Linked DNA regions of Diceros bicornis minor. The protein of the gene in region 1 purifies or fractionates together with the protein of each later gene. This does not show direct contact. Links are inferred from orthologs where the notes say so. Each region holds a gene or a part of one and is shown in the gene's direction. Other genes may lie near its edges. The genes, in order: STAT3, PTPN11, TRIM59 and PIAS3.

The links.
Region 2: the proteins of STAT3 (region 1) and PTPN11 purify together in Homo sapiens (affinity purification with western blotting; 3 studies listed by BioGRID). This does not show direct contact. The link is inferred for Diceros bicornis minor from reciprocal best matches to the Homo sapiens genes STAT3 and PTPN11.
Region 3: the proteins of STAT3 (region 1) and TRIM59 purify together in Homo sapiens (affinity purification with western blotting; 4 studies listed by BioGRID). This does not show direct contact. The link is inferred for Diceros bicornis minor from reciprocal best matches to the Homo sapiens genes STAT3 and TRIM59.
Region 4: the proteins of STAT3 (region 1) and PIAS3 purify together in Homo sapiens (affinity purification with western blotting; 5 studies listed by BioGRID). This does not show direct contact. The link is inferred for Diceros bicornis minor from reciprocal best matches to the Homo sapiens genes STAT3 and PIAS3.

The regions. Positions count from the first base shown.
Region 1 is NC_080757.1:41,524,011-41,531,820, reverse strand, and holds the start of STAT3 (signal transducer and activator of transcription 3), read left to right. Parts: upstream 1-4,795; 5' UTR 4,796-5,005; intron 5,006-7,810. UniProt on the Homo sapiens protein: Signal transducer and transcription activator that mediates cellular responses to interleukins, KITLG/SCF, LEP and other growth factors. Once activated, recruits coactivators, such as NCOA1 or MED1, to the promoter region of the target gene.
Region 2 is NC_080774.1:10,559,126-10,566,160, forward strand, and holds the start of PTPN11 (tyrosine-protein phosphatase non-receptor type 11), read left to right. Parts: upstream 1-4,029; 5' UTR 4,030-4,175; coding exon 4,176-4,189; intron 4,190-7,035. UniProt on the Homo sapiens protein: Acts downstream of various receptor and cytoplasmic protein tyrosine kinases to participate in the signal transduction from the cell surface to the nucleus. Positively regulates MAPK signal transduction pathway. Dephosphorylates GAB1, ARHGAP35 and EGFR.
Region 3 is NC_080754.1:66,345,680-66,353,405, reverse strand, and holds the start of TRIM59 (tripartite motif-containing protein 59), read left to right. Parts: upstream 1-4,706; 5' UTR 4,707-4,785; intron 4,786-7,726. Other genes in the region: uncharacterized protein LOC131414636, read left to right, coding at 2,699-2,762, 3,385-3,920, 4,335-4,439. UniProt on the Homo sapiens protein: E3 ubiquitin ligase involved in different processes such as development and immune response. Serves as a negative regulator for innate immune signaling pathways by suppressing RLR-induced activation of IRF3/7 and NF-kappa-B via interaction with adapter ECSIT.
Region 4 is NC_080743.1:53,388,544-53,395,703, reverse strand, and holds the start of PIAS3 (E3 SUMO-protein ligase PIAS3), read left to right. Parts: upstream 1-4,147; 5' UTR 4,148-4,210; coding exon 4,211-4,234; intron 4,235-6,138; coding exon 6,139-6,556; intron 6,557-6,715; coding exon 6,716-6,800; intron 6,801-7,031; coding exon 7,032-7,082; intron 7,083-7,160. UniProt on the Homo sapiens protein: Functions as an E3-type small ubiquitin-like modifier (SUMO) ligase, stabilizing the interaction between UBE2I and the substrate, and as a SUMO-tethering factor.

The DNA.
Region 1 (7,810 bases):
TATAGAGATAGAGACTAACAGGCTGTGAGCAACTTTAGGTGGGAGTAGGTAGACAAGGCCTCTCTGAGCAGGTGAGACCAGAAGGGTGAGAAGGAACCAGTGATGCCAAAGCTGGAGAAGGAAAAAGAATGGTATATGCAAAGGCCCTGAGGTGGGAAATAGACTGGCTGGAATTTAGTAGATAGGAAGGAGGTTGGTGGGGTAGGCAGGGCCTTGAAAGGGATAAGAAAAAGGAGAACTCCTTTATCCCAAACCCCATGGAAAGTCACTTTTTTTTTTTTTTTTTGGTGAGGAAGAGTGGCGCTGACCTAACGTCTGCTGCCGATCTTCCTCTTTTTGCTTGAGGAAGATTGTTGCTGAGCTAACATCTGTGCCACTATTCCTCTATTCTGTATATGGGACTCTGCCACAGCATGGCTTGACGAGTGGTGCATAGGTCCAGGCCCAGATCTGAACCAGCAAACCCTGGGCCGCTGAAGCGGAGCACAGGAACTTAACCATGCCACCGGGCCAGCCCCCGCCATGAGAAGTCACTGAAGGAACAGAATGTCATGATATGAATGATGTTTTAGGCAGCACAGAAAAGAGCTTAGCCTTGAAAATATTGAGTAGGGAGGACTGCTCTTCAGACAGGAGGAAAGAGAGATGCATGATGATGTCTGAGAAGTGAGTTTTTGCAGAGAAAGTAGAGGTCCAAGGAGTTCACGTTGCACAGATCTGCTCTTCTCTGTGATTTTAGTGAGGGGGAGCTGGGCAGCACTGTGTAAGCCTTTCTGTTGCTTTGCCCCCATGGGGGCTCCCATCACCCACGAAAGTTGTCCCTTGCCCTCTCTGGTCACTGCAGTGACTTGCCACCATTTACTGCCACCAAGGTTCTTCTCCAAATCTTCTCTTCCTTGCCATGCCCTCTTCTTGATTTAGAGTTTTACTGCTAATTCCTCCAGGGAAGAGAGAGTAAATAAAAATTTTCTAGAACTTAATAAAGTCTGATCAGTCTCAGTTCCTGATCTAACCCCTACAGTCCTGAGTCTCTCTGAGGTGATAATGGAAACCTATCCTGGTTATGTATTGCTGTGTAACAAACCCCCAACAGAGTGGCTTAAAACAATGACAACATTTGTTTTGCTTATGAATTTGTAATCTGGGTAAGGCTCAACAAAATTGGCTCATCTCTGCTCCATTTGGCCTCCATTAGGCTGGCTTGAAAGCTGGGGCTGGAATCATCTGGAGGCTGGCTCACTCACAGTTGATGCTTGCTGTCAGCTGGGCCCTAGCTGGACTGTTGGCCAGAACACCTTCGTATGAGCTCTACATACAGCTTGGGCTTCCTCACAACATGGTGGCTGAGTTCCAAAGGTGAGTGTCCCAAGAGAAAGAATTAGGTAGAAGCTGCATTGCCTTTTATGACCTGACTTCAGAAGTCATGGCAGCATCATTTCCGCTGTATTCTATTTATTAGAAGTAAGCCACTCAGGGAGTGGAATTAGACTCTACCTTTAGATGGGAGAAGTGTCAAAGAATTTGTGAACATGTTTATAAACCACCGTAAACTCACAGGGCTTCTGCACTCTGTCTTTATTCACTTGATTGATGAGTGGAGAGTGGGGACCTCACCTTTTCCCCTCCTTTACACCTTTCCTTGGGGATCCAAGAGGAAGGTTAGGTCTGGAGATATAGCCAAGGAAGAGCAGCTATTCAGGCCTCGAATTAGACACACTTGGATTTGAATCCTGGCTCTGCCATTTATCAGCTCTGTGTTCTTGGGTAAGTCACTCAACCTTGGGTAAGTCTCATTTTCTTCATCTGTAAAATCACAGTATTCTCATGGGTTTATTGCAAGGATTAAATGAATTAATAGATGAGTTACATAATACATAGTAAACACTCAATGAGTGTTAACTATTGCTGATATGATTATTCAATACGTGTTTATTACTATTTAATTAACTCAATCTTAGGTGAGTTCTGGGCTAGACGCTGGGATTGTGAAAATGACTATGAAGGGATTCAAGCTTCCAGGAACCTAAAGCTTAGGGGGAGATGTTTTCAAGCATGTGGGCAGAGAGTCCAGGATTTGGAGTCAGCCAGAACCAATTCTCATTCTGAGTTTGCCCGTAGTTTCTAGCTGTGGGAACTTAGACCAGTCTTTTTTACTTTCTCAGCCATAGTTTCCTCAGTTGAAAATGAGAATTATAATAGAACCTACCTCACTGAGTTCTCAGGAGGATCAAATGAGATAATCTATATAAAAAGCTTAGCACTGTTCCTGGAACATGGTAATTACTTAATAAATGTTAATTATTAATTTCATTTATCAGGAAGTAGGCTAATAAATGGATATATTACAGTCCAACGTGGAAAATGCTCTACTAGATGGGGAAGCAACCTGCTAAAGGAGTCCAGCAGAAGAGATTAACTTTGTCAGGAGTAATCTCAGAAAGCCCAGAGGAGGTGAGGTTGGAATTGGGCTTTGAAGAATGAGTAAGAGTTTTCGGGCAGGGAATGAGGAAAGAGAAGATATTCTGGGTGAAGGGAAGAAGATCTGCAAAGGCATGAAGTTATAGGTGTCGACATGTTTGGAGAAAGGTGATAAATTCAGTGTGGGAGTATAAGGTGTGTGGGATGGAGGGGTTGAGGCTGGAAAAGGGAGTTCAGGTCAAAACATTGGCTCAAGAAACCTGCTGTCTTTATGCCACACTTGGTAGAGTGTAGAGAAAGGCCACTGGCTGGGCTGGAGCAAGGTTTTGTAGGTGGAACAGATGGACTCAGGGGTAGATTTCATGTGTGAATGTGAGGCAGGGCAGTGAGGGAAACAAAGGCCAGCTGCTGAGGAGTCAGGGGAGGAGGGCAGGGTTTGAGTGGATGGAACAAAGTTATGGGATGCAGAGTCCAAAAACCTGCCTCTGAACCCACCTGGGATACTTCTGAGCATCTCCATGATCTTGAGATTGTCATACTATTGTGGCCTTCGTTTCCTATCAGTAAATAATATGGCCTCTCCTATCTGCTACACATAATTGTTGTGAGAAAGAAAAGAGGTGATGAGTATGTAAGTGCTTTGTAAGCAGTAAATAACTAAACAAATATTAGACCCAATGCTATTAGGGAGGCAGTCAACTGCATGGAATAGCACAGCTAAAGCAGAGTTTAGGTGAAGTGGAAGGTGGGGGATATCTGCCCTGGGGTGAAGACAAAGATAAGCACAGCGATCAATACACACAAACACACACACAGACACACACACACACTACAGACAAATACAGCGTTTTGCGTTTTCCACGTTGGGCTGGGTCTACAGGAGGGCAATTGGAAACTCTCAATCCCACCACCAGTGACCCCACCAATTGTCCTATAGATGCTCTCACCTGTCGCTTGGACATGAGGTGGTCCAAAGGTCCAAATCTGGAGTCTTTGGCCGGGCTTCAGGTGTCTGGGGAACCATGAGATTTTGTGAGCAAAAGCTCATGCTGTATAATTCTGAGGCTAAAATCTGTAGTCTCCAGCAGACTGAGAAGGATCTGTGACCCCCCACAGGTTAAGGGTCATTGATTTTCTCACCAGCAATTAATAAGAATAGCTATCCTAGGGGAGAAGGACTGGTAGGAGAAGGGCGAAGATTTTCATTTTCAATTTTCGACTTTTCTGATGTGTTTGAATTTTCTAACCACTACCATGTGTTAGTTTCATTGAAAAAACTGCCATCAGGGGTTGTCTGGGTGGTGAGATAATGGGCCCTTTTTAGATTTCATCTTTATACCTCTTTATATCAAACAAACACAACAAATACTAATAGCTATTATTTTTTAAAAACTCTGAGAGCGTCAGCACACATACAAATCTCTCCATTATGCAAAGTACATCCTCTGTTATGTAAGGTAAAATGTCTACATTTCCTATAAACTACTAGCTTTAATGCAGTAAAACTTGCATTTGAAGTAGAGGAGATGAGACGAAAAAGAAAAAGGCAGGCAATTTCAACTATTTCAACTCAGACGCATAAAAATAGCGTGTCTACGTGTCAATCTTCATATGTACTGTTTTCTGCATTCTCCTGAACTGGCCACTGTGCGAGCCGTTGGCGTTTGATGCTTGAAGCGACGGAACGGAGGACAGGGTTAAATCCACTACCCTCTCCCCACGCACTCTAGTAATTACTCTATTTCCACGTCATGTTTCCGGGTGTGTGTGTCCCAACTCACGCAGAAACTGAAGTTCAAAGCAGGCAGGAGTCACCCATATTCTTTTTGCTGTCCCCAGAAACCCAGTTCAGGCGTTGGGCCCCCTGAGGATCTGGCGATACCTGGGGACTGTCTAACTGGCTGATTCCCACGTGGTAAGTGGCTCCCAACCTCGCCCCCACGTGGTGTTCAGTGCCGGGAGAAGGGAGAGCAGGCAGAAGAGAGCCGCATCAGGGGCATTTAAAGTGTCTTGACGTCACGCACTGCCAGGAACTCAGCTGAGTTTTCAGCAGGACATTCCGGTCATCTTCCCTCCCTCCCCCCGGGCTTCTGCGCCCAAAGCCTCTGCTCTTCCCTGTTGTTGCGGAGGGAGGAGCAGTAAGCCTTCGGAACAGCCAGCATAGGGGCGTTCCCAGCCTTGTCTTGGCTCCGCCCTTTCAACCAGAGGCTCTCCTCATTGGTCGGTGGGTGGGGCTTTGGGTGTCCCGCACACGCACTAGGGCCTCTGGGTGGCCGAGAAAACTGGCCGTCTCATGAATTATGCAGCAGCGGCTTGTCCCGGCCAGGCTGGGGCTGGGCGGGGATTGGCTGGAGGGGCTGTAATTCAGTGGTTTCCGGAGCCGCGGCGGCGTAGACCGGGAGGGGGAGCCTGGGGTTCCGACGTCGCCGCGGAGAGAGTGAGCCCGAACCGGATCCTTGACGAGCGCCCCAGCACGGCCCTCTCTCTCCGCGTCTGCTAGGAGAGGCCCCAAGGCCTGAGGGAGACCCGCGGCCTAACCCCGGCGCAAGCGCAGCCCCGGCCTGTCGGGCCTCAGCCCGTGAAACAGGTGAAGGAGGTGAAGGGTGGGGCCGCCCCCCGACGGCCCCCAGACCTGGGGACCCCGGGGATACCGGAGGGGCCGGAAGCCTCTCGGGTGTTTGGGGGAGCTGTGGATGGAAACTTCAGCGGAGCGGGGGATTACGAGGGGACACGGAGGGTCGCTCTGAAGGGACAACTCCCCGGGATGACAGGAGCGGGCCTCTGAAGGGACAGGGGGCACTGGAAGGAAGTTTCGTTCTTTGGAGAAAGGGGGGACGCCGAGGAAGAGGGAGAACGGGCTGGAGGGGGAGTACCTTGGGGCGAGGGCACCTGGGGTGGGGGTGGCAGGAGTGAGGGACAGCCCCCCGACTTCCTGCTCCCTGGGGCTCTGGGGACGTTCCGGCCACAGGAGCGACTGTCACGCCGCGGAGATCACCGGGAGGGGGGGTTGGAAAGAGCCTCCTCCTGTCCCCCGGCGGGCCTGGCGGCTCCCGGCTGAGCCACTTCCTCCGCCTTGCCCTGTTCCCGCTCCTTAGGAGCCAGCTCTGCCGCTCTGGAGGTGGGAATAGGTGTCTTCCCTTACAGCCTCACAGGCTGGTTGGTTGTGCGTAGGATTATTGCATAAGAATCGAGTTTCCTGTAGGGAAATTGACAGTCTCGTACTCTTTCTAAATTCCCTCCCGTCTTTTTCTAGGTTAAACCGTGCTTCCCTCCTACTCCTTCTGAAAAAACATAATAAAACCCCCATCAAGCCAGCTCTAGAGAGAAATAAACCTCTTTCCTCCTTGACATTGTTCTTTTATAAACACCTGGTACATTCAGCCAGAAGATAAATAATTGAGCCCTTGCGTTTACGGGATTGTGGTATTGCTTAATTGAATAGGACAGAATGAACCAATCGAGAGTGGGAGTTTTCTGTCTCAGAGCCAAGATCTTGGGTAAACGCAGAGGAGAGGGAAACAAAGACAGGCTGGCCTTGGCAAAGCCATGTGTGCAAACTTTACCTGTGTTTGGGGGTGTGGTTGGGCTTAAGTTAATAAAATTCCAACCGTCACCCAAGTTGCTTCTCCATGTGTAGTACACATACATCCCTCTGTGTTGTATCAAATGGGTGTATGGTGTTGACACACTTTTTCTTATTAAAAATGTATCTAACGTACCTGCTGGTTTTTATTGTGTGTGCATCTAAAGGGTATATTTATTCTGTGTATGGGATGTAACTTTGGGGCTGACTGTGCTGATAAAGCATTGATTTCAAGAAATCAGAACAGTAAATCATCTCAGTCTTTTATATGTGAATTTAGACTGTTATGACTTGATTCTGCCAATTTTCTATTTTATTTTATATTAAATGTGTGTGTTCCCTGAGTCAAAGGTTATTTCCTTATTACATGTGCCAGACTGGAGTAGTAGCAGAATTTTTGCTTACACATTTGTATAGTGGGATGGGAGGAAGAAGTCTGCAATACAAAAAAAAATTGTTGTAGATGTTGGAGGGCTGATCTTAGCTTCTATATTTGTTAGCACATCCCCCACAAAGAACCACTAGCAAATTCATGAATATTTTACTTTTATATGTAGTTCTTTTGGGAAGAATAACTATTTAGAACTATCCAGTTATGACTTGACCCACAAAAGGTAAATGGTTCATATAACGTCAACCCCGTTTTGGTAATAAGGAAATTGAGAACAAAGGAAAAAGACCCTTGCCCAAGGTAGCAGAGTGCCGTAGTGGTAGAACTCATCCCTTCTGTATCTTTTGTGTTCTTTGACTATCTATGCTTAAGTATTAGGTCTTGATTTAGAGTGAGTGTAGGCCCTGCTGGGAAAAGTGTTACTGAAATTCTAACATATACCTAGACAGTGAAATACTACCAATAGGTTGTAAGACTCCAAGGGTGATAGTTAATAAACAGGTAAAAAAAGAAGTACAAATCGGGTTTGCTTAGGTTATTTTTCTGTCTAACTGCTATGACTAACATGGGAAGTGACTAACTTTTTTTATTCTTATTGTTATTTTTTTAATGATTATTTTTTATTTTTTTTGTGGAGAGGATCAACCCTGAGCTAACATCCATGTCAGTCCTCCTCTTTTTGCTGAGGAAGACTGGCCCTGAGCTAACATCTGTGCCCATCTTCCTCCACTTTATGTGGGTTGCCGCCACAGCATGGCCTGACAAGCGGTGTGTTGGTGGGCGCTGGGGATCCGAACCCAGGCCGCCAACAGTGAAGTGCGCGCACTTAACTGCTATGCCACGGGGCTGGCCCCTGGAAGTGACTAACTTTTTAGTTGGCATAATTTACCATCAGAATTTAGCTATTTGCTAATGGAAAGAGATATTTATTTAGGCAAGCTTGTAGGTGAAGGATGGTCGTGACCTAAATGTCCCTTAAACCAAAGTGCCTTGTGGCTTGATCAGTGGTCATTTGTGTCTCCAGAAAGTTGCTGTCTTCTCCCTGCCTCTGAGTGTCTTGACATTCAGATGTGAAGTGGGGCAGAGGTAGGGACCATCACTCCAGCTGCTGAGTCCAGCACCTTTTTATCTTATGGCTTTTTCAGAGGTAGTGTACAAATTAACAAATATTTACTTTTTGCATCTTTGTGAAAGTTGCTATGAAGAATAAGATGCCTTAAAGGTTCACAGAACTTGCAGTCTACTGAGGCAACTTGATAAATGCTTTATCCATACAATGCAACATGTCCTCAGAGAGATGGTGAGACATTAGCCTGCACTGTCCAACAAAGTAGCTATTATATATTAAAAACATATAGCATAGATATAGAACGTTTCTGTTATCATAGAAAGTTCTCTTGGACAGTGCTGCACTAAGA
Region 2 (7,035 bases), on another chromosome or scaffold:
TGCCAGTAGCGGAGCGTGCGCACTTAACCGCTAAGCCAAGGGCCGGCCCTAAATGAATATTTCTTAAGCTTATTCTATGCCAGGCAGTGTGCTAGGCTCTGGGCATGTAAAGATGAAGAAGACAGTGACTTTGTTTTAAAAGGAGCTCATAATCTAAGGGAAGAGGCAGAACAGTCAATCAACAATGATGTTGAACCGTGTTGCCGACCAATAGAGGCATGAACAGGCAGCCCGCAAAGCATAGAGAGGAGGGCTCTATTTTATTCTCAGGAAGTGGTCAAGGGGTGTGTGCAGAGAATGTTTACTGCACAAGTTGATTGAGTTGGAGCTATATCTTGCTTGACACTTACTTTTCCATTTGGAGATGGGTTTAAAGTGCATTCCAGACAGAAGGAACTAAATTTTGGAATACAGGGATGCAAGAAACAGCTAGAGGCCTTTGGAAACTGCCAGATTATGTGAGGAAGTGGGGATAAATGAAGCTGAACAGGTAGACATGGTTCGTATTTAGAAGGGCCAGATGTGCTAATGGAAGGATTTTCATTTAGTGCTAAAGGCTTTGAACCTCCCTCATAGAACAGGAGAAGGACATGATTAGATTTGTATTCTAGAAAGATCATTCTAGCTGCAGAGTGTATAGACTATAGGAAAGACAGGGGAAGCAATGGTTTTGATACTGAACCTCTTAATCTCAAATTCATATGCCTGATGCACAGCAAGACAAACACTGACTGAGATATCGGGCTTGGAGATGGAGAAAGGCCCCATTTGAGTTGGCCAAGATGAGAAGGTGGGAGCACCGGTTTGCTCAAATCTGCCTTAATCAGAGCAAAAAGAGGGGAGTTTTTATAGAGCTAATGGGCTTGCCAGGAGGAGCTTTGGAGAAACAAACAGGTCACTCCAGATAAGCCCCAAGACAATCTGCAATGGCTGCTGGGGGCCGGCTGTCTGGAGATTGCAACCTCCCTGAAGGCATTCTCTTTCTTCTGCAAAACAAACTCACAAATCAGTCACTCCTCAAGTTAAACAAGAAAAGAGCAAATTGACAAAAATCATCTATGTCTGTGTTGGGAACAAGGTCAAAAGGCAATCATGTTCTTATTGAATAGCTACAGTAACCATCAGGTACGTGGCTTCAGTTTCTGTATTCAAAGAGCTTACAGCTTACTTTGGAAAAGAGACAAATGATAACCAGCATTTACCAAGTGCTTACTTTGCCAGGCATTGTTCTAAATACTTCACAATCATTAACCCTTTTATTCTTCACAACTTACCCTATGTTGTAGGTAGTATTTTCACCCCTCCATTTCACGGAGAAGGAAATTGAGACACAGAGGAGTCAAGTCACTTACCTGGGGACAACCAGGCAGGCAGGCTGAGTTTTGGAGATCAAGAACTTATCCCCCACATGATACTGTGTCTTAGATTTATAATGAAGTGTGTTCACTTCTAAGCCAGGATAGGTGTCTTGGGGACCATCTTAACCTAGACTGGGAGAATCAGGTAAGTCTTCCTATCCCAGAGGAGATGACTTCTAGTTTGAGATCTGCGTAGACTAGAGTTCATGGGGAGGGGGGGGTCACATAGTACTCTCTAGGGAGGGGGAGCAGATTGTTTAAAGACCCTGAGCTGGGAAAGGGCATGGCATATTGAGAACAACTGAAAGTCATTCAGCATGACTGGGTCATAGCGGTGGGGAGAGTGGGGTTGGTGAAGTGAGCAGGAACCAGATCAGGTGGTTGTTAAAAAGTTTTTTGACTTCATCCTAAAAGCAATGAGAAGCCATTGAAGTATATGCAATGTAGGGAGTGACTAGTTCCGCATTTTAGATTACCCTGGCTATTATGTGGAGAATGGATTGGAGAGGGCAAGCGTGCAGGCTAAAATCCTTTAGGATTTTCTTTGAGTCATCTAGGTGGCCGGGATTTAGGAGGAATGGAAGGAAACAGCCTGGGCAACTGTTCGTTGAATGCCTATTACCTAAATTAAATTGGCATATATTAAAGACAATTTTTGTAAGGATTTTTTTGTAACAAGGCTAAAGCAGTTAGCACACTGCATGTGAGTTCTTCATATAGAAGTGTCAATGCAAATAATCCATAATCAATCTATAAATCAAAATTGGGGTGAGTTTATTATGAGCCAGATTTGAGGACCACATAGCCCGGGGCCTTCCTTCCCCAAGGAAGGAAGGGCACCAAAGAAGTGGGGTGTACGGAGCAGTTATACACGGTCAAAGAGCATGTATCACATATGATTGCGATGTCCCTTTACAATAATCACAAGATTGTCCTGTTGGCACAGCGATTGATGGACACAGCAGGCATCAGGTCTGCTGTCTTGATGGGCACAGCAGGTACCAGGTCTGTTGTCTCAAGTTGGGTGGTCACAAGATGAGGACAGCAATCAAATCCTAGCCTAGGGAGAAAAGCTTATCCTTAAGGAAATACCAATGTGGGGGAAGTTACATCCTTATCTTAAGGGCATTTGTTCTTGTCTTCGGGACGTGGTAAATGCTTAAAGCAGATATACAATGCATGTTCAAAAGCCACATCAGGCCTTTTTGGAAAAACAAGGTCAGGCCAAATTAGTTTTACACCAAATGGCTTCCTCATATACTCCAATATGTCCTATTGCTTGCCATTTATTTATCAGAAGTGAGCTGGAGAGCACTGGGAGGAAAAAATGAGGGTTTTGGAGCCACATAGATGTAGGTTCCAATTCTGACTCTGCCACTTACTAGATCTGTGACCTTTAATGAGTCACATGGGCCTTCATCAAGTAAAAACTCTACCTTCTCATTCTGGGTGGAGCCACCATCATCTCCAGCCTGGAATATTACAGAATTCTAGTATTCCAAACTGGTCTGTTTCCAGCCTTGCCCTCTTGATCTGATTCCTTAGAGAATATCTAAAATAATAATTTTAAAACATAGATTATAGTCCTCCTCTGCTGAAAATCTTTCAATGGCTTTCCATTTTACTGTTCATTTAAATAGCCTATAGGACTCTATACTATCTCTACCCCTTTCTCACCTCATCTCCTGCTACTCTCCCTTCACCCCTCCCACTTTCTACTGTGCTTTAGCTAGAGATCCCTTCATTGTTCTTCAAATAGTACAGGAGGCAGCCTCCTGCCTCAGGGCCTTTGCACTTCTCTCTCCCTGTGCTTGAAATGCTATTCCCTCGAGTTATTCCCATAGATTGCTCCAGCGTCAGTTCTTTACTCAAACGTCATCCTCAGTGAAGCCTTCCCTAACTACCCTAATGAAAACGATAATATAAAGGGCTATGGAGAAAAGACAAGAAAGGAGGGTACGAGTATTATCTTGAGTATTTTACTTATCTTGATTACTGTAGCTCCTCCCTCGAGAACACAGGCACGGGATTTTTGTCTTTTCTGTTCATATCCCCATAATCTAAAACAGTGCTTAGCAGATAGCAAACAATCAACAGATGTTTAATTGTAATGAAAAGACAGCGAACAATTACAAAGCACTTACTAAACAGGCCAGGCCTAGTTCTAAGAATTTTACATATTTAATTCCCACAATCCTACGAAGAAAATACAATTACTATCTTTATTTTACAGAAATGAAGGAATGGATGAAACTGAGGCTCAGAGAAATTAGGCAACTTTCCCAAGGTTACACAGCCAGGAAGCAGAGCGGCGATGTGTGGAATGAAATGAATGAAATTCGGTTTGGCAGTCGGGGATGGAAACTGACACGGCGGAAGCGGAGGCATGGGTTCCCGGGAGCGCGTACAGCACTGAGCGCGCGGCGCACGCCCTGCGGCCAAGGTCTAAAGGAGGACGTCGAGGTGCTTTGGGAACTGCGCGGCGGCGGCCCCACCGAGCCACCGGACTGCCATCACCAGCCGCCGCTCAGTCCCCGGCGGACTGGAAGCAGGAAGTGGCGGCGGGCGTCGCACGGGGTGACGTCAGAGTGGCGCCGGCGGCGAGGGGCGGGGGAGGAGGAGGAGCGAACGGGACTCGGGGGGCGGCTGCACAGTCTCCGGGATCCCCAGGCCTGGAGGGGGGTCTGCGCGCGGCCGGCTGGCTCTGCCCCCCGTCCGGTCCCGAGCGGGCCTCCCTCGGGCCAGCCCGATGTGACCGGGCCCAGCGGAGCCTGAGCAAGGAGCGGGTCCGTCGCGGAGCCGGAGGGCGGGAGGAACATGACATCGCGGAGGTGAGGAGCCCCGAGGGGCCCGGCGCGGCCTCGGCCCGGCCCCCGCCGCCTGCGGTCAGCCCCGCCCGGGAGGGGGCGCCCCGGCCGGGCTTCGGCCCGCGCCTGGGGTCAGCGGGCGGGCCCCTCCCGACGTCCGCGCCCTCCCGGGGCCGGGGGCCTGCGCCCGCCGCGCCCCCACCCCTCGGGTTCCCATTCATTTCCTGCCTCCCCGAGTTCCGGCTCCCGCAGCCCGGGGGATGCCCGGCAGGACGGGGCCAGGTAGAGCCGCCGCGGGAACGGCGGGCGCCAGCGGCCCGGCTCGGCGCCGCATTCCTGACCCATTGCCTCATGAGAATTGCCTCATGGTGATTCCGAAATAACCCCACTCGCTTGGGGAGGCTCCTCGGCCCGGGACGCGGGAGGGAAGAGGAGGGAGTGGCGCGGGGCCCGGCCCCGGCGGTCGGGCTGCTCGGCGTCGCTCTGCTGGTCGCGCGCTTTTGGGGGCTTCGCTCAGCATCCCTGGCCCCTTTATGTGCCTCTTTGCATCTCCTTCCCCCCACCCCTCACGTGCCAGAAATGGAAAAACTGACTGTATCTGCAGCTATTAGAAGTATTTCCTTCCTCTGCACTGTTCGCTTTGAGAGATGGGAGGGAAGGGAGCTGTATCTCTGGTTATTGAATCCTTCACCACAACCTTAAAAGTCAGGTAACATTAATCACCCCCGATTTACGGATGTGGAAACTGAGGCTCAGCAATAACATGCTAGTAAATGACAGGACTTGACTCTGAGTCATAAGGAGGATTAGCGAATTAATGAGATCTTTTGCAAGTGCAGGGTAATAATACCACTAATAGCCAACACTGATTTAGCTCTCACAGTAAGCCAAACACATTTAATCCTCACAATAACCGTTTGAGGTAGGTACTAACGTCTCCGTTCTAAAGATGCATAAACTGAGTTTCAGAAGTTAGGCAACTTGCCTAAGATCACTCAGCCAATAAGTGGTGGGGCCAGAATCCCCGCTGTTAATCACCATATTGCTATTATTCTTTTATAACTATTGCTAATCATTTGTAGGCCTTAATTTTGTTGTTCAACGGTAGCGTGACGTATTGTTTTCCGATAATGATCCTGCTGTTTTGTGTCCTACTCTTTATATAAGATTCACACATAAGACCCATTGTTTAATCTTTTCCTTAATTGTCCTGTGACGGTCACTATATTAGACATTTGAAAAACTATTTCAAGCTATTGGGGTTATTTGAATGAGAGACTTTTCAAAATGTTAGGTATGTCTTCTCAGGATATACCTGCACGTTATTCATTCGTGAAACTGGAATGAAAAGAGGGAGAAAAAAGAAAACTGAAAACTCTTAGGACGTGAGTGACTTGGACAGGTCTGTTGGCAAGTGCTTACAGATCTGGGTAATATATAACTGCATTTCAGCAGAACAGTGTATAGCCTCAAATGTTCTAATTCTTTAGGGAGTTTTTAAATAAAACAGTTGTCTATTCTTTAATCTGTCAAATAGTCATTGAGCCTTTTGTTCCTTGTGTCTGCTCTTCCAGACAAGTAAGGATCTGCTTCTTTAGGAGACAGAAAGGCTGGGGGCTGGGTAGGGAAGGGACTGGGTGGTAAGAGACCCTGCATTGTCCAGCTTGTTAGTGTATAGGCCGGGAAGTGTGGGTATAGCCAAGGCAGCAAGTGGTAAAGATGACAGTTTGAAATAGAGTAATTCTTCCTCCTCTCCAGCCCTGGTGTTTCTTACTCACCTATTACAGAAGAGAAATGTGTGCTACCTGAAAAGTCAGATTATGCACATAACACACATAATTGGGAATTATTTATTATTATTTTTCAGATCGTAGGTCTGTGTTATTATTTTTTTAACCAGCTTTATTGAGGTATAAATGACATGCCATAAGTTGCATATGTTTAGGTGTGTAATTTGATAAGTTTTGACATATGTATACACTCATGAAACTGTCACCACAATCAAGATAATGAACATATCCATCACGGCTTGTGATGTGTCCTTGGGCCTTTATAATCCCTGCCTTGTTGTCAGGCAGCCACTGTTCTGCTTTCTGTCACTGTATGTTAGTTTGCATTTCTTAGAATTTTATATAAATGGAATTTTGTGTCTGGCTTCTTATGCTCAGCGTAATTATGTTGAGATTCATTCATGTTGTAGTGTGTGTCAAATAGTTCATTACTTTTTATCGCTTAGTAATATTCCATTGTATGGATGTACCGCAGTTTATCCATCCACCTGTTCATGGACATTTGGATTGTTTCTAGAGTTTGGCTATTACAAATAAAGCTGCTCTGAACATTTGTGTACAAATATTTGTATGGACAAACACTTTCTTTTCTTTTCGGTAAACACCTATCAGTGGTATGGCTGGATCATATATTAGATGTATATTTAACTTTTTCAGAAATTGCCAAACTGTTTTCCAAAGTGGTTATACCATTTGCATTCCCACCAGCAGCATATGAGAGTTACAGTTTCTCTACATCTTTGTCAACACTTGGTATGGTCAGTTTTTAAATTTTAGCTATTTTACTGCATATGTCATGGTATCTCATTATAGTTTTAATTTGTATTTTCTCTGGTGACTAATAATGTTGATCATTTTTTCATGTGTTTATTTGCCATCTGTATATCTTCTTTGGTGACATGTCTATTTGATCAAATATTTTCCTCCTTTTTAATGTAGTTGTTTGTTTTCTTGTTATTGAGATTTGAGAGTTCTTTCTTGTGGATACAAGACCTTTATCAGAATTGCAAATATTTTCTCTTAGTCTGTGGCTTGTGTTTTCACTTTTTTAACCATCTCTTTTGAAGAAAAGAGGCTTTT
Region 3 (7,726 bases), on another chromosome or scaffold:
AGGCATTAGTCAATCCCAGACTTGTGTTGCTTGCCACAAATCCCACCATTCTGAGTATAGGAGACAGAGATCATCATCTGAAAGGGTGTAGAACAGATATGACTAATGGGCTTCTAACTGTGAGGTGGGCAGCCACTCTGCTTTGTATTTACAATAGAAACCCCTCCACACACCCTAGAGCAGGTGAAGATCACCCATGAGCAGCTCCAACTGTCCGGTCACCAGTCAGCAGCAACCTGGGGAACTCCACAGCTTCAGATCTGACCTACTTTTCCCAGTTTGCTGCACAGTCAGTTTGCAGTGCAATCCCTCTAGACTGTAGTTACCTGACATTACCATTTAGCTGTGCTATACCTGTACATCAGCTCACTGAGATAAGCAACTCAAGTACAAGATCTGTGTTCTCTGTAACTTTCATGCTGTCCATTTATTAGACAAATAAATAATATTGCTGTGCTGAAATGGATTAGAGAATCACACAAGACTATCAAAATCAAAATTTTATGATTTATAAGAAAAAATTCTTGAAATTCAAAATGTTTAGATAATTAAAATAAATGTGATGATGGCATAACAATTACAAACAGAATGTCCTAGAAAATTGCATATTAACTGCCTGAATCAAGAGATTCCCCAAATTTATTTAAGGTAACAGCCACCCACAAAATTGAGCATTTAAAGAAGCTAGTGGATGGGGCCAGCCTGGTGGCATAGTGGTTAAATTCGCACGCTCCACTTCGTTGGCCTGGGGTTCGCAGGTTCAGATCCCGGGCGCAGACCCACACACTGCTTATCAAGCCATGCTGTGGCAGGCGTCCCACACATAAAAAAAAAAAAAATAGAGGAAGATGGACACAGATGTTAGCCCAGGGCCAATTTTCCTCAGCAAAAGGAGGCGGATTGGCAACCGATGTTAGCTCAGGGCTAATCTTCCTCACTAAAAAAAAAAAAAAAAAGCTAGTGGCCAGAAAAAAAAGTTAGTGGCATTTGAAATAAAATGATTCTTAACGAGAGACAGTAAATGAAAGGGAAACTAGTTAGGAGGTAAACTACTACTGAGCAGAAGACATTCTTTTAGTCTTCCAAGTTGCATTCAGAGATACAGCTGAAAAATGCTGTGTGAAAATAAATTCTATATAATATGTTCTAGTGCTTAAGACTGTATAGGTACTAATATCAAATTTGGGCTCAAACTCAGTTTAAGGCAACACCAATATGGTTGGTAGGTTTTTCTTCTCTGAAAATGAAATTTTTCTAGGTTGCCTCTAAGATCTCTTCCAAGTCCAAATCCCTGAGTCTGTGAACTCTATTGCATCATATAGCTGGGTGCTCTTTTTTTTTTTTTAGTAAAGAAGATTGTCCCTGAGCTAACATCTGTGCCAATCTTCCTCTATCTTGTATGCTGGACGTTGCCACAGCGTGGCTTGATGAGCGGTGTGTAGGTCTGCGCTGGGGTCTGGCCCCCTGAACCCTGGGCTGCCAAAGCGAGCACATGAACTTAATGACTACGCCACCAGGCCGGCCCCCAAGCTGGGTGCTTTTTTCCCAGGTAAAATGACCTATGAACTGTCAGGCAGATTCTCCTAGCTCACTGTCCTTGATTCACTGCCACTGTAATCATGGCGGCAGTCTCGGCTGTGTTTTCTTTGAAGTCCTAGAAATAAACCACAGGTGCCTTTAACTTTGGAAAGTCATGTGTTCTCTTTATTATAATTCTGATGAGGCCAACGTGATGGGAGACAACAGGAGGGTGCTTAAACTCTGTAGCTATTAGAACTCCAAATCAGAAAGTTAGCTTGCCTACAGGGCACTTCTCTGTGACTGTGACTGTTTGGGGGCTTGAGATAGAAGATGTCTAAGCAGGGAGCCTGACCTGAGCACCCAAAGGTTGTCCTAAAATTCATGTTTTATTGCCTCCTGTTCATATAACCTGTTAATAACTGCAAAGGTTTATCATTTTTTAACCTTTTCCTACTTTCTTTCAAAAGGAGATTGGTGCAGGCATATAGGCAGAGACCCAAAGCAGCTGAACTTCCCTCTCCTCACCTTTTTTTGGGTAGCTGAGCACCTTAGCACCTCAGATTTTTAAGCTTATGGTTTTAACCACGTACTTCTGTGTCTGAGTGTTACTTCTTTGTCCAACCTTTCCAGGCCAACGTGGTCTTCTGGAGAGTGCCTGAATCACAGTCCACAAACTCAGTATGTCAAGTTGACTGCCATTGGTTTTGTAGGCTCCTGTAGCTCTCTGCTACTTCCTGGTCATGCTGGGTTACAGAAATCTTTGGCAGAGTTGGGAACCCATGGGCCACTAAAGCAGTCTCCCTGGAGCCACAGATGTAGGCCCTCTTTTTTGGTGTCATAGCTTCCCTCCACCAGGACCTGAGTAATTTCTACCTTGGGGCTATCATACTTCTCTTTTTCTGCTTCTTCCAAACATTCAGCTCCCGCATTATCAACGTCCCCCACCAGAGTGGTACATTTGTTGCAAGTGACGAACCTACATTAACACATCATAATCATCCAGAGTCCATGGTTAGTTACCATTGTGTTGTTTCTTAAAAGAATAATTCTATAGACGTATAGTGCATTTATTGCTATGGAAAGATATTCACATCATATTGTTCTGACAGGAAGTTAAGAAGCTGTTTATCAGGATGACTCTAAAAATAGAAAATGTACGTGCATAAAAAAAGTCGAAATGAGCATGTACCACCACACAACAGTGCGCATAGCGCTGGAATCCACACATGATAAGCAACCTCGTCAGTAGCTGAGTTGGTGAAGACATTTGAGATTGGCTCAGGACTCACTGATATTACCTTAATTTCTGTTTCATACTGTGTTTGATGTGCTTCCTGTATTTTACTGTATAAGAGCCTAAGACCTGGACGCACCCGCACCACGCAGTCCCCCAGGGCTCACAGACGATTTAGCACGGCGGCAGGCGACCTTTAGAGGCAGGGGAAGCTGTGAGGGGAGCGCCTTGAGATCGCGCTGGAGAAAGCCTCTCAAGAAAAAAAGGGAAAAGGACTACTGAACTGTATGTTTCCTGATTCTAGGGGGTTAAGAAGGTGAAATAGGAACTCAGTGGAGAAACTGAACTGGAAGTCAGGAATTCTGTGCCCCAGTCGCGTCCTCTCTGGGCAACCACTTCATAAAGCGGGACCAACGGGAGGCAAGGAGGAGCAGGAGACCGTCCTGAGGGGTCCTCGCTCCGCCAGCTCGCGGAGCCGGTTCTCCGGAAGCACCAGGGGACGCTCCGGGGTCGGGCGCCCAGGTCCCTGCCTCTCCGCGCGGAGGCCGCTCGCCTCAGAGGAGGTCGAGCTCGCCCGCTGGGTGCTCGCGCCGCGGGCGGGCGGAGACTGCCGGCGCGGGGACTGTGAGGGGACAACGGAAACACTGCGCTTCGAAGTCCAGCATCACAACATGCGGCCTGGCTTCTAGGGGCCTTCTTCGTGGGGAACGTCGGCCGCCGCCCCAGGAGAGACCCGCCCTGGGGCGCGGCCGCCAAAACCCGGCCTCTGCAGCGCGCCTCGGGCCTTCGGAGAGGGGCAGGCACCCAGGGCGCAGGCGCAGAACGCTGCCGGAGTCTCGCGCAGAGTCCTCGCGATCACGCCCCGCCCTGGCGGGCGCAGCCGACCGTTTACTTTCGAACCGCGGTCCCGCACTTTCCCATTGGCCAATGCTGGGCAGTTGAATGTTGCGCGGAGACTGCGCCTGCGCCCTCAGACCCGCGAGGCCCCGCCCGGTCTGCACGCCTGAAGTCCCTGAGGGCGGAGGGCGCGGCCGCCGAGCGTGTCTCCGCGTGCCCGGGAAGCGGGGAGCTCGGTTTCCGTGCGGGCGGCCCTCCCCGTGTTGAGGCCGAGGAGGAGAAGACGGCTCTGGGTGCCTCTTCCCCGGAGCACAGGCAGGCATACAGGGTGTGTTTGCAGGGAGTCGAGGGTCGCGAGGCGGAGGTGGGCTTAGGTCCTGACCCGCTCCCTCTTGTCCCAGAGGGGACTTGTCCTCCCTCAGGTGGCACTGCCTTTCCGGGGAGCAGCCCGCCGTAGCGGGGAGGGGCGAGCGGGCCTCCAGAGGCCGGGCGGCCGCGGGCTCGCGGGGGAGGCGCGTCCGGCGGCGGCCCGGGTGTCGTCGTCGACCCTGGGGAAGGGGAGGCTCTCCTTCGAGAGGGGCTCTCGGGGCTTCGCGGGAGGAGGTGTGATTGTGCCACGTCACACGTGCTGAGAGGCAGCAGGGAGAACTGACCCAGGGTCCCACGGCGTTTACGTGGCGGAACTGAGAGATGAACAGACGTATTGATGGGAATAACCTAAGTTAATATTTATAATTTTAAGCTGGCAAAATCTTGGACTCCTGTGGAGGCTTCTTGTCTTCCACTTAACTTGAAGCAATCTGAAATGACCACGAACGTTTGCTCCCTCATCCCCATTGTTGACTAATATTGTCGAGAGCTCAGGAGACACTGGACGCTATAAAAAGAGGTCCTTTGTGACAATTGATTTGGTCACAGAATTGTTGGGATTTTCAAGGTACGAGTGATACCTGTCCTGCTGCTCCAACAACTGGTGATATTTGTCAGTACTTTTCTAAAAGCACTGAGGTGTAAAGAAGGTAACTGTCAAAGACAGTGAAAGAACCATTCCTGTGATATCGTATTTAATATATTTTTTGAGGATGTAAATCTAAAACATTAAGGTAAAATTGTTTTAATTTTAGAATTAGAATTGAAAAAGCTGGAGAAGCTAAAGAATATTCAGTCTCCAAGCTAGAAGATCAACAAAGTAGGTAAGCTCTGGGAGACTAAGTGAATATGAAAGAAATCTTCAGTAAATTTTTACTGAGTGTATGATTTAAACTGTAAGTGAAATTTTTAAATCTTTTGAAAAAAGATGTACGTTGGTGTTGTATAAAATTCAAACCATATAAAAGGAGCATAAAGTGAAAAACAACTCCCTCTTCTGACCTTTAAGTCGTTAACTCTTGTATACTCTTTTAGAAATTTTACAAGGATGTGTGCATCTTAATACACGGTCTCATTTTATACATACAGATCTTTAAATTGCATTTATTAAGTTATCTGGACACCTTGTTATTATGTATTTAGATATTGATATGTGTTCTGTTTTAATGATCAAGTAGCTGTCCTTTGAAGTAAGGTACCATAATTTAACTGCTCTGGCAAGGTGAAATTTTGATTTTAGGTAATGTTACTTTGAACATTGCCTTTCAGCAAACATATTGCTGAATGTTTTCCACCAGATATATTTTCACTTTGAAAAGTATAAACAAAAGCAATGAAAACCTTAACTTCTCATTTCAGTTCCTTGTTAAATTGCATTAATAGTTTCTTTTTTGGTTTGGGAAAACAGGTTGATGTCAAAATGCAGGAAAATAGTACAAACGGGCACAGTTAAAATCAGATCTGACCTTAGGATTTTTTTTTTTTTTTAATTTGAAAGAGTTATGGTGATCCTTCATTATTTTTTTATATTTATATGTACAAAAGTATTTTTAAAATCTTGCCCTATGTATATATATGTAGCACAGTTGTAGTATTTCTAAAGTAAGTCTTGAATTGTATGAAATGTGCGTTTTATCAGTTAGGGCCACAAAGATGTGAGCCCCAGTCTGGCTGTTGGCACCTCTTGAATTTTCCCAGACTTAGAGCTGACTCACACTGTAAGTCCAAGAGCAAGCCATCCAACTCTATAATGTGGTCAATGTAATTTCTTTTCAGAAGTTGTAAAATGTAATGAATGTGTTATAATCATTGATGTTTAGAGATGAAAGGCAATACCACATTAGTGAATTAAAACTTAAAAAATAGTTTACACAGGAGAACGGGTAAGGATATTTTTGGTACTGCTTCATTCTCCATCATCTATTATTAGCGCTGACCATCCATAATATGCTGGTTAGACATTGTGGAGGCTCCACAGGAAATCAGCCCTCTGGAGAAACTGCATAAAAAGTTTACAAATTCAGAAGTGTGTTTGTTTTTGACACTTGAAAACAAGAAATTTGTGAAATAATTTACAAGTAGATGATTTAGCTTCAGGTTTCTTTCTGAAAAGATTTATTTTTTATATTCATGTATCTTAGTGACTTTTAAAAGGGAAGCAGAAAGCCTTGAACTAAGTTATCAATTTTTACTTGGGCTTTTAGTACTCACTGGAGGAAAATAACAGTTTACACGGGTTACTTTTATTTTACTTCTTAAAAGTGTAAAATAATATAAATTGATTCTAAAATTAATTTGGCAGAGGAAAGGCTGGATAATAGGCAAGACACTTAAAAAATTTTAAAGTTTTAGACAATTCCTGCCCTATTGCAGACTCACACATTGTAATGTATAGAAAAGTATTACAGAATTCTTTTAAATAAAATCCAGTTAAGTGCTATGAAGTAGAAGTGCAGATTAACAGGGGACCTAATCTGGGGAGGAGGCGGGGCTCAAATTGAGACTTGAAGAATGAATAAGAGTTTGGTTTTGCAAATGGTGAAGATAAGGAGCATAGAGCTAAAAAGTCTAAATGGTGTTTTTTTTTCCCTAATTGATGCCTTAATATTTTATAACATTGTGAAATTTTAGTTCTACGTTATTATTTGTCAGTCACCATATAAATGCATCCCTTCACCTCTTGTGTCCACCCCCCAACCCCCTTGCCCCTGGTAACCACCAAACTGTTCTCTCTGTCCGTGTGTTAATCTTCCACATGTGGTGATCATGAAATCATGCGTTGTTTGTCTTTCTCTTTCTGGCTTATTTTGCTTAATATAATACCCTCCAGGTCCATCCATGTTGTTGCAAATGGGACAATTTTGTCTTTTTTATGGCTGAGTAGTATTCCATGGTGTGTGTGTGTATATATATATATATATATATATATATACACACACACACACACACACCCCACATCTTCTTGATCCAATCATCAGTCATCAGACACTTGGGTTGCATCCACATCTTGGCTATAGTGAATAATGCTGCAATGAATATAGGGGTGCAGAAGCCTCTTTGGGTTGTTGATTTCAGGTTCGTTGGGTAGATACCCAGTAGTGGGATAGCTGGACCATAAAGTATTTCTGTTTTTTATTTTTTGAGGAATCTCCAAACTGTCTTCCATAGAGGTTGTGCCAGTTTGCATTTCCACCAGCAGTGAATTGGTTCCCGTTTCTCCACAACCTCTCCAACATTTATTGTTTTTTGTCTTGGTGATTGTAGTCATTCTAACAGGTGTAAGGTGATATCTTAGTGTGGTTTTGATTTGCATTTCCCTGATGATTAGTGATGTCGAGCATCTTTTCATGTGCTTGTTGGCCATCTGTATCTCTTCTTTGGAGAAGTGTCTGCCCATTTTTTGATTGGGTTGTTTGTTTTTTTGTTGTTCAGTTGTGTGAGTTCTTTATATATTATGGAAGTTAACCCCTTGTTGGATATATGGTTTGCAAATATTTTCTCCCAGCTGGTTGGTTGTCTATTCATTTTGATCCTGGTTTCATTTGCCTTGTAGAAGCTCTTTAATCTGATGAGGTCCCCCTTGTTTATTTTTTCTTTTGTTTCCCTTGTCCGAATAGACATGGAATTCGAAAAGATCCTAAAGAGGTTTTTATGTTTATTAAAGGTACAATTAGTTATTTGTAGATCTCTTCTCAAACTTTTGATCTTAAAAGTTAGTTTTATAGAGGAGGATTTGGAAACCTTTATATTTTACATGAATGGCAC
Region 4 (7,160 bases), on another chromosome or scaffold:
GGAATCAGCATGGATGAGACCAGAGGCAGTGTGGATGGAAGCCAGCGCTATGGAAAATAAAGCAGGAGGCAGGATGGTGCTGGGTGTTGTTTTTTCTGTCTAAAGGGCTGTGACGGAAGGAATCTTTTTCATTCCTCTTTGATCACAAATGGCCTCATAAGTCAGCAGCTTTCAAACTTTGATTATGACCCACAGTAAGAAATACATTTTGCATCCTGTGTACATACCTGAAATAATATTTACCCTTACTATTTCTATTCTATTCTATTCTCTGCTACTATGCTCCACCGAAAAAATATTGGTCACAATACATCCACTAATGGGTCAAGATCTACTTTGAAAAACAGCATTCCCACAGTTTGAAAAACAGCCCTCCGTTAAAGTGGGGATTGACACTCCTCTCTTTCTCAAATTTGTCTCATATTGACCAACACAGCTCTGATCTTTTTTCTCTACCTTGGGACTCCTGAGTCTACTATCTTTTTCAAGGAGAGATTGAGAGACCTGGTTTTTCTTCAGGATGTACAATCTAAAGTGTTCTATTATGTGTTAAACGATGTGTCTAGATTTGAGGCACATGGTTTCATGTGGTCAGTGTTCTTTGCCCCAGGTGCAAAGAGGGATGAAAAGTCTGATTCCTGGAAAAGGGATGAAGGGATATCAGAGTTGGCTTCTTCCCTCCAGTTCTGTTCTCACACTAAAAAAATGTATCTCTCTTGGCCACTTCCCCTGGGTCTCCTCCCCTTCCTGCCCCTCCACCAGCCAGACTGCTAGGTGAGAGTGAGGCAGTGAGTTTCTCCAAAATCTGTAATTGCGGTTTGGTGGCCCACACACTGATCCCTCCCCATTCCTTCTCTCAGCCCGCCCCCTGCTGGGTTATGCTGGGTCAGCCGGCAGTGGTTTGGCAGTAAAGAGACTGCTTTGAGAGAAGAATGGGGAGGGGCTGCTGTGGAAGGCAGGGGGCCACACAAGGTCTGCGGAGCCTGGTTCCAGGGTTTGGCCAGGAAAAAGAGCAGCTATGTAGATCAGGTCCTAGAGAAGATGAGGGTCAGCTTTGGGGTTTGTGTGGTTGGGCACAGGACTGCTTTAAGGCTGGGGGAATGGAGAGAGGAGGACTTGATGGAGAAAGGGAAGAGTGCAGCTGCCAGAGGAAGAGCATCAAAAAGGTCCAAGTCATTTCTGTTAAGGGGAACAGAACCTCTCTTTTCCTTCCTGTTCTTAGAGTTACCAAAGAATATAAAAGGACTGTTGCATGCCTGATTATATATGGAGTGTTGGGGGGAAAGAATGAAGAAACTGCCAAGAGAAGTGTCCAGAGAGGGGGAGATCATTTGGCTATGTTCAAGTATGAGTCAGGATACAGCTTTTGTAATGGAAGCCAGGGCTTTGGCTCCCTCTGGGGCCCCTGGAAGCTGATTCCAGGATGGCTGAGCTACGGGAATGGTCAGTGATGTTAATCTTAATAAAGGAGTGGAACCTTCCCCAGACCCTGGTCTTCCCAATCTCTCTCTATACAACCCCATACACTGTTACCCCAACAACGCTGAGCCCTGAAATTTTCCTTGATTTCATAAATAAATCTTTCTTTCCCAAAGTAACTCTAGTCCTAACGGTCCCCCCTTTCCTCCTGGGCTGTTTAATAGGACTTCAGTAGGAACTTATCACTCCTGTTTCACTTCCCCCTTGTTCCCCAGGCTTCAGACGTAGGAGTGCATGGGTGAAAGCAGGTGAAGCTTGGTCGGCCATGATGGGATTCAGACTATGTCTTCTAATGTCCTCCATCTGGAACTTGGCCCTGATTTGCAGTTTCCCTCCTTTATCTGGTAGGATTAACTTATTAAATTGATATTTAAAGAGTCTACTATGTGCCGGGTACTGGGGATAGAGTGAACAGCACAGAAAAGTTCTTGTCCTCCTGGAGCTTGCACGATTAGATTCAGGTGCCTGGGTTCCTAGTTTTCTGCTATCCCATAGGGATGCTAGAACTTATAACCTCAAATTAACTATTAAAGGAGATCCCTCCTTTATGAAATCGCTAGGAATCAAGGTGAGGTTGACTTTTTATTTTTACATTTTTACAGCTTTATTGGGGTATAATTGACACACAATATAAACTGCATATACTTACAGTGTACAATTTGATAAGCTTTGACATATGTATACACCCATAAAACCATCACACAATCAAGATAATGAACATATCCATCACCCCCAGAGTTCCCCTCTCTTTTTCATCCTCCTTAACCTCCTTTCCCCAAAACCACTGAAAACTCTAGAAAATACAAACTAGTCCACAATAACTTTTGATCTAGAGGACTATACAGAACAAAAAAGAAAATGAGCTCAGGGCCTGATTAAGACTCAAGTGTTGGAGGAATCACTTGGGATTTAGAACCAAATACTTGAGCTTGAGTTTATCTTGAGGTCCCACCAGTGCTGGCAGCAAAGCAGCAAGGAAAGAACCTGAGTGTCAGGAGAAGGTGGACATTTTCCCTACGGACAAAATCCACAAAGTAGTTGGGCATGGTTCAGTTCAACAGGTACCTGGGGATATTGGCAGGCTGGCACTTTTAGTTTTATGGTGTGAGTAGGGTCTCACGGGAAGGATTATACTGAAGGTTTAAGCTAAATGAGAGGATTATTCATATTATTTATTAAAGTACTCTTTTCCTATGCTGATTATAGGTTTAACTGTCTTGTCTGCTACTGTTAGACTGAGAGCTCCTGCATGGCTTTGATGTCCTCAGCACCCAACAATCTCTGAACAGCATTCCAATATTTATTGAACAAATGACATTATCATTTAGGTCCCAGCCAACTAACTATAAAATACTATGCGTTTTTCCAGGACCTAGTTTGGGTAAACTGCCCTAAAGTTGGTGCTTTCATGGCACCTGTATGTGAGCGATTAGCCTGGAAAACCTCCCTTCTGTTCACCTTCAGCTACACCAAGTGTGTGTGGTCTCTGGTGACGGTCTGTGTATTTGGGGTAGGAGGTGGCGGCCACAGGTAAAGTTGGGCTTAGGTACACTTCGGATTCTAGCAGCCCAGGCTGCTAGAAGTCTCTTTTCAAGTAGGAATCTCTTAATGTGGTCAGATCCCCGGTCCATACTGTCTTATCCGCAGCATGCCTCCGCCCCAAGCCCGTACACCAGCGTAAGGGGTCAGAGCGATAGTGAGAAGGACGAGATGCAAGAACGTCGTCTCCCCTGATCCACTCACTCGAGGAGTTAATCTCTCCAGCGACAGGTTCAGGGTCCCTCCCTCTCCCGCCCCAGACTCCGCCTCCTCCCCCCATCTTGGCGATCCCGGCGGGCTCACCCAGGAGGGGGCGGCCCCGGCCCGAGCGGTGGGCCGGGCGGAGCTCCCGCCAGGCGGAGCTCCGGCTGCAGCGTCCAGCTGCCGGACCAACCTCCAGCCCTTCAGACTGCGGGAGCGGCGCCGGGCCCCCTCCCCCCACATCCCCAGCCCACCCTCTGAGCCTCCTGAGCCCCCTCCCCGCTCCCTGCAACTGTGCTGGTAAGTCCCGCTCTCCGCACCAAACTTTTTCGCTGCCTGGTTTGAGTGCTGCGCTCGGACCACGAGCTACATTGTAGTGGGGGAGGAGGGGGGAGGGAGGACGAAGGATTGAGAATAGCCGTCTTGAAATGAACTATTCACGACTCCATAGCTTCCCTAAAATGGGTCAGATCTCACCCATTTCCCGAGTGGTAGAACTCTTGATTTTAGCTAGTTAAACTTGTAAAGAGGGAGATGAGGGTATTCGCTTTAACTTCGCTACCCCCTCCCCCATTTCTGAGATTTAGCAGTTCTCGATACTTTCCCTCCATATTTCAAGTATCTTTGGCTCCTTAAAAGCTCATCCCCTCCCAACTCTGGCGTGGCAAAGTCCCCCTCCCCCAGGCACTTCGGGTCCGCCTCCTCTCCATTACCCCCGGGAACCCCCCGATCTTTCGGGCCGTACCCTCCCTCCGGGTCTACGGGTCTTGCATACCGGCCAAAGACGTGCAGGGGCTGGGTCCGGCTGTGGAGGGAGGGGCTGAGGCCGGGGCTTGTCCGAAACCAGGCGGGCGGGGTCGGGAAGGGGAGGTGTAGGGGGCCGGACGGGGCGGAGCAGGCGGCATTTGCGGCCGGCGCCGGGGTGGAGAGTTGTGCGCCGGTCCCTGGGCCTGAGCTGGGGCTCGGGCTCCGGCTCCTGCGATGTCTCAAGATGGCGGAGCTGGGCGAATTAAAGGTACCGGCCCCCTCCCCCATCCCCATCTGGACTGAGCTCGGCGGTACGCCGAGTCAGGGAAGCGACTGAGACTGGGTGCTGAGGGCTCGGGTGCGGGCTGGAGACGTGGCGGGGACTGGCTGCTGGGGATGGGAAAGAAGTGGCTGTGGGCGAGGAAGGGGCTGCGGTGAAGCTCCGGGGGCGGGGCCGCGGGGCAGATGTAGGGGTGGGGCCGAGGGGAATTGCAGCTGTTGGGGGCCGAGGCGCAGGGGGCGGGGACACGGGGTAGGAGTCGGATTTGGTAGTAGGGGCAGATGTAGGGGTAGGGCTAGGGGGAAAAGCTCTGTAGTGGCATAGGGGGCCAAGAGATGCGACAGTAGGGGGGCAGATGTAGGGATGGAACTGGGAGGCAGATGTACGGGAGGCTCCTGGGGAAATGCAGCTGAGAGGATACAGTCTTTGGGGCTTCTATTGGGATCCGAGCCTTGGGAAGAACCAGTAGGCGGCTGAGATCCAGGGGGCGGGGCTGTGCGGGCAGATAGATCGAGGGGTGGGGCAGGAGCATCCTGGAGGCTGAGAGGAAGGTCCTGCCTTAGTGAGTCTTCGGGCAGGACAGAGGATAGAAAAGAGGGAAGTTCTTGGCAAAGCTAATGGAGAAATAAAGACAGTATAGAGGAAATAAGGATGGGGGGAAAGGTAGAGGAGCAAGTTTTTCATCACATTCCTCAAAGGGGGCCCAAAGGTATAATGCTTCCTATGAGGGGAAGAACTGTGGAGGGCTAACAAGGTCTGCCCGTGGCAGGGTCTCCTAGAGAATGACAGAAGGGAGTCCTTTAAAGAGAAAGCTTTTTGTGCCCTCCCACTATGAGGGCACAGAGTCTTGAGGGTGACCATATCCAAGGACATCTCATGGGACACCTCTTAAACCATTGGGTTCACCCCTCTGCCTCCTGCCTTTGTTCCACCTTTTGAAATGGAGCCACAGTCCTGGGCAGGTTGAGGTCTAGTCACTGGGCCCAGCTGCCTTTAGGAGAGCTCGAGATTCTGCACCCTGGCTCAGGGCCCACATATCTTCTCCTTATTCTCCCACGGCCTATGTTGAGAGCTTTGCCCTCTCCTCTTCCATCCCTATGGAGGAGGAGGATCGCTTATTTTCTCTATGTAGGAAAGAAGGAGATGGAGTAAACAGGTAGGATACCTGGACTTGGTGATTCACTGCTAACACTCTCCCTCGCCTCAAGTTTTGGTCTTGTTTCCCTCCCAGAAAAATGACACTGAGAAAGGATTTAGGGGAGGTATGAGCATTGAAGCCTGCCCTGGAAACCCTGGCCACAAAAGCTCCAGAGGCTTGGGGAAAATAGCTGAGGTAGATTGAGGTATTGGGAGGGGTGGGCTGTGAGGCACAATCCTCCAGCCACCTGGCCCCTTTCTTCCTTGTGGGACTGTCTGGCCTGAATCCTCTTCTCCCCCTCCTTCTCCTTGTCTCCTATCCTCTTCCCAGGAGTCTGGGATGGGTCTGGGAGTCTGAGAAAGAGCAGGAGAGGAGATAAGCAGCTTAAAGGAGAGTCCAGACTTGAGGCAGGGATGGAGGTAGGAGGCTGTAGTGGACTCAGAGGTGTGCCTGAGGGTGGCTTGCCATCTGCACCCTACATCCTGCCCCCACCTGGTCAACTTGCAGGCATGGGGAGATGGGGTTGCTCAAGCTCTAGGGGGTAGTGGTGAGGTTGACCTCAGGTTGCTAAAATGAGACTGAGATGTCCCTTTGGCCAGGTCGGCTGTCTGGCAGTAATCCACTGGCTGCAAAGCATCTTTCTGATCAGTACTGGAGGCAAAGAGGCATCGCCCACCTGGTAGCTCAGCCCCAGCATCTTTGACAGGACAGGCCTGTGCAAGGTAGGATTCTCAAGCTTCTCTGTTCTCCACAGCACATGGTGATGAGTTTCCGGGTGTCTGAGCTCCAGGTGCTCCTTGGCTTTGCTGGGCGGAACAAGAGTGGACGGAAGCACGAGCTCCTGGCCAAGGCCCTGCACCTCCTCAAGTCTAGCTGTGCCCCCAGCGTCCAGATGAAGATCAAAGAGCTTTACCGCCGACGCTTTCCCAGGAAGACTCTGGGGCCCTCTGATCTCTCCCTGCTCTCTCTGCCCCCTGGCACCCCTCCTGTAGGCTCTCCTGGTCCTCTAGCTCCCATTCCCCCAGCCCTCTTGGCCCCTGGCACCCTGCTGGGCCCCAAGCGTGAAGTGGACATGCACCCGCCTCTACCCCAGCCTGTGCACCCTGATGTCACCATGAAACCATTGCCTTTCTATGAAGTCTACGGGGAGCTCATCCGGCCCACCACCCTTGGTACGACTCTTTGTGGTGCCTCAGCTTTCCTGGGCTCCATGCCTCTTCCCCAAGCCTTTCTTAGGTTTTAGTCCTGTGGGATCAGCAACCTGGGATGGGGGCAAATTCTGTGGCTGCCTGAGCATGGGCTTGGGAATAACTGCCCCCTTGTGTCCTCAGCATCCACTTCTAGCCAGCGGTTTGAGGAAGCACACTTTACCTTTGCTCTCACACCCCAACAAGTGCAGCAGATTCTCACATCCAGGTACATCTCTTTCAGTCCTCCTGCCCCATCCTAGGGGGTTACCCTTGGACTCTGCTCTCTGACTCTTCTCTTCTGCCTTGCTCTCCTCCCTATCCATCCTCCTGTACCTGACTTGTCTCCTGTATGCCTCTTCTCTATCCCCTGGACATCTAACTTTCTGTGTCTCTGTCTGTTCACCCCTGCCCTCTGGGGTCACATACTGACATCTTTTCTTCTCCCTCCCTGTTATAGGGAGGTTCTGCCAGGAGCCAAATGCGATTATACCATACAGGTGCAGCTAAGGTGAGTTGATCCTCCCTCCTAGCCCTGCTGTGCTCCCATTGGGGGTCAAATGAAATAAGGGTATGACAGATACTCCTG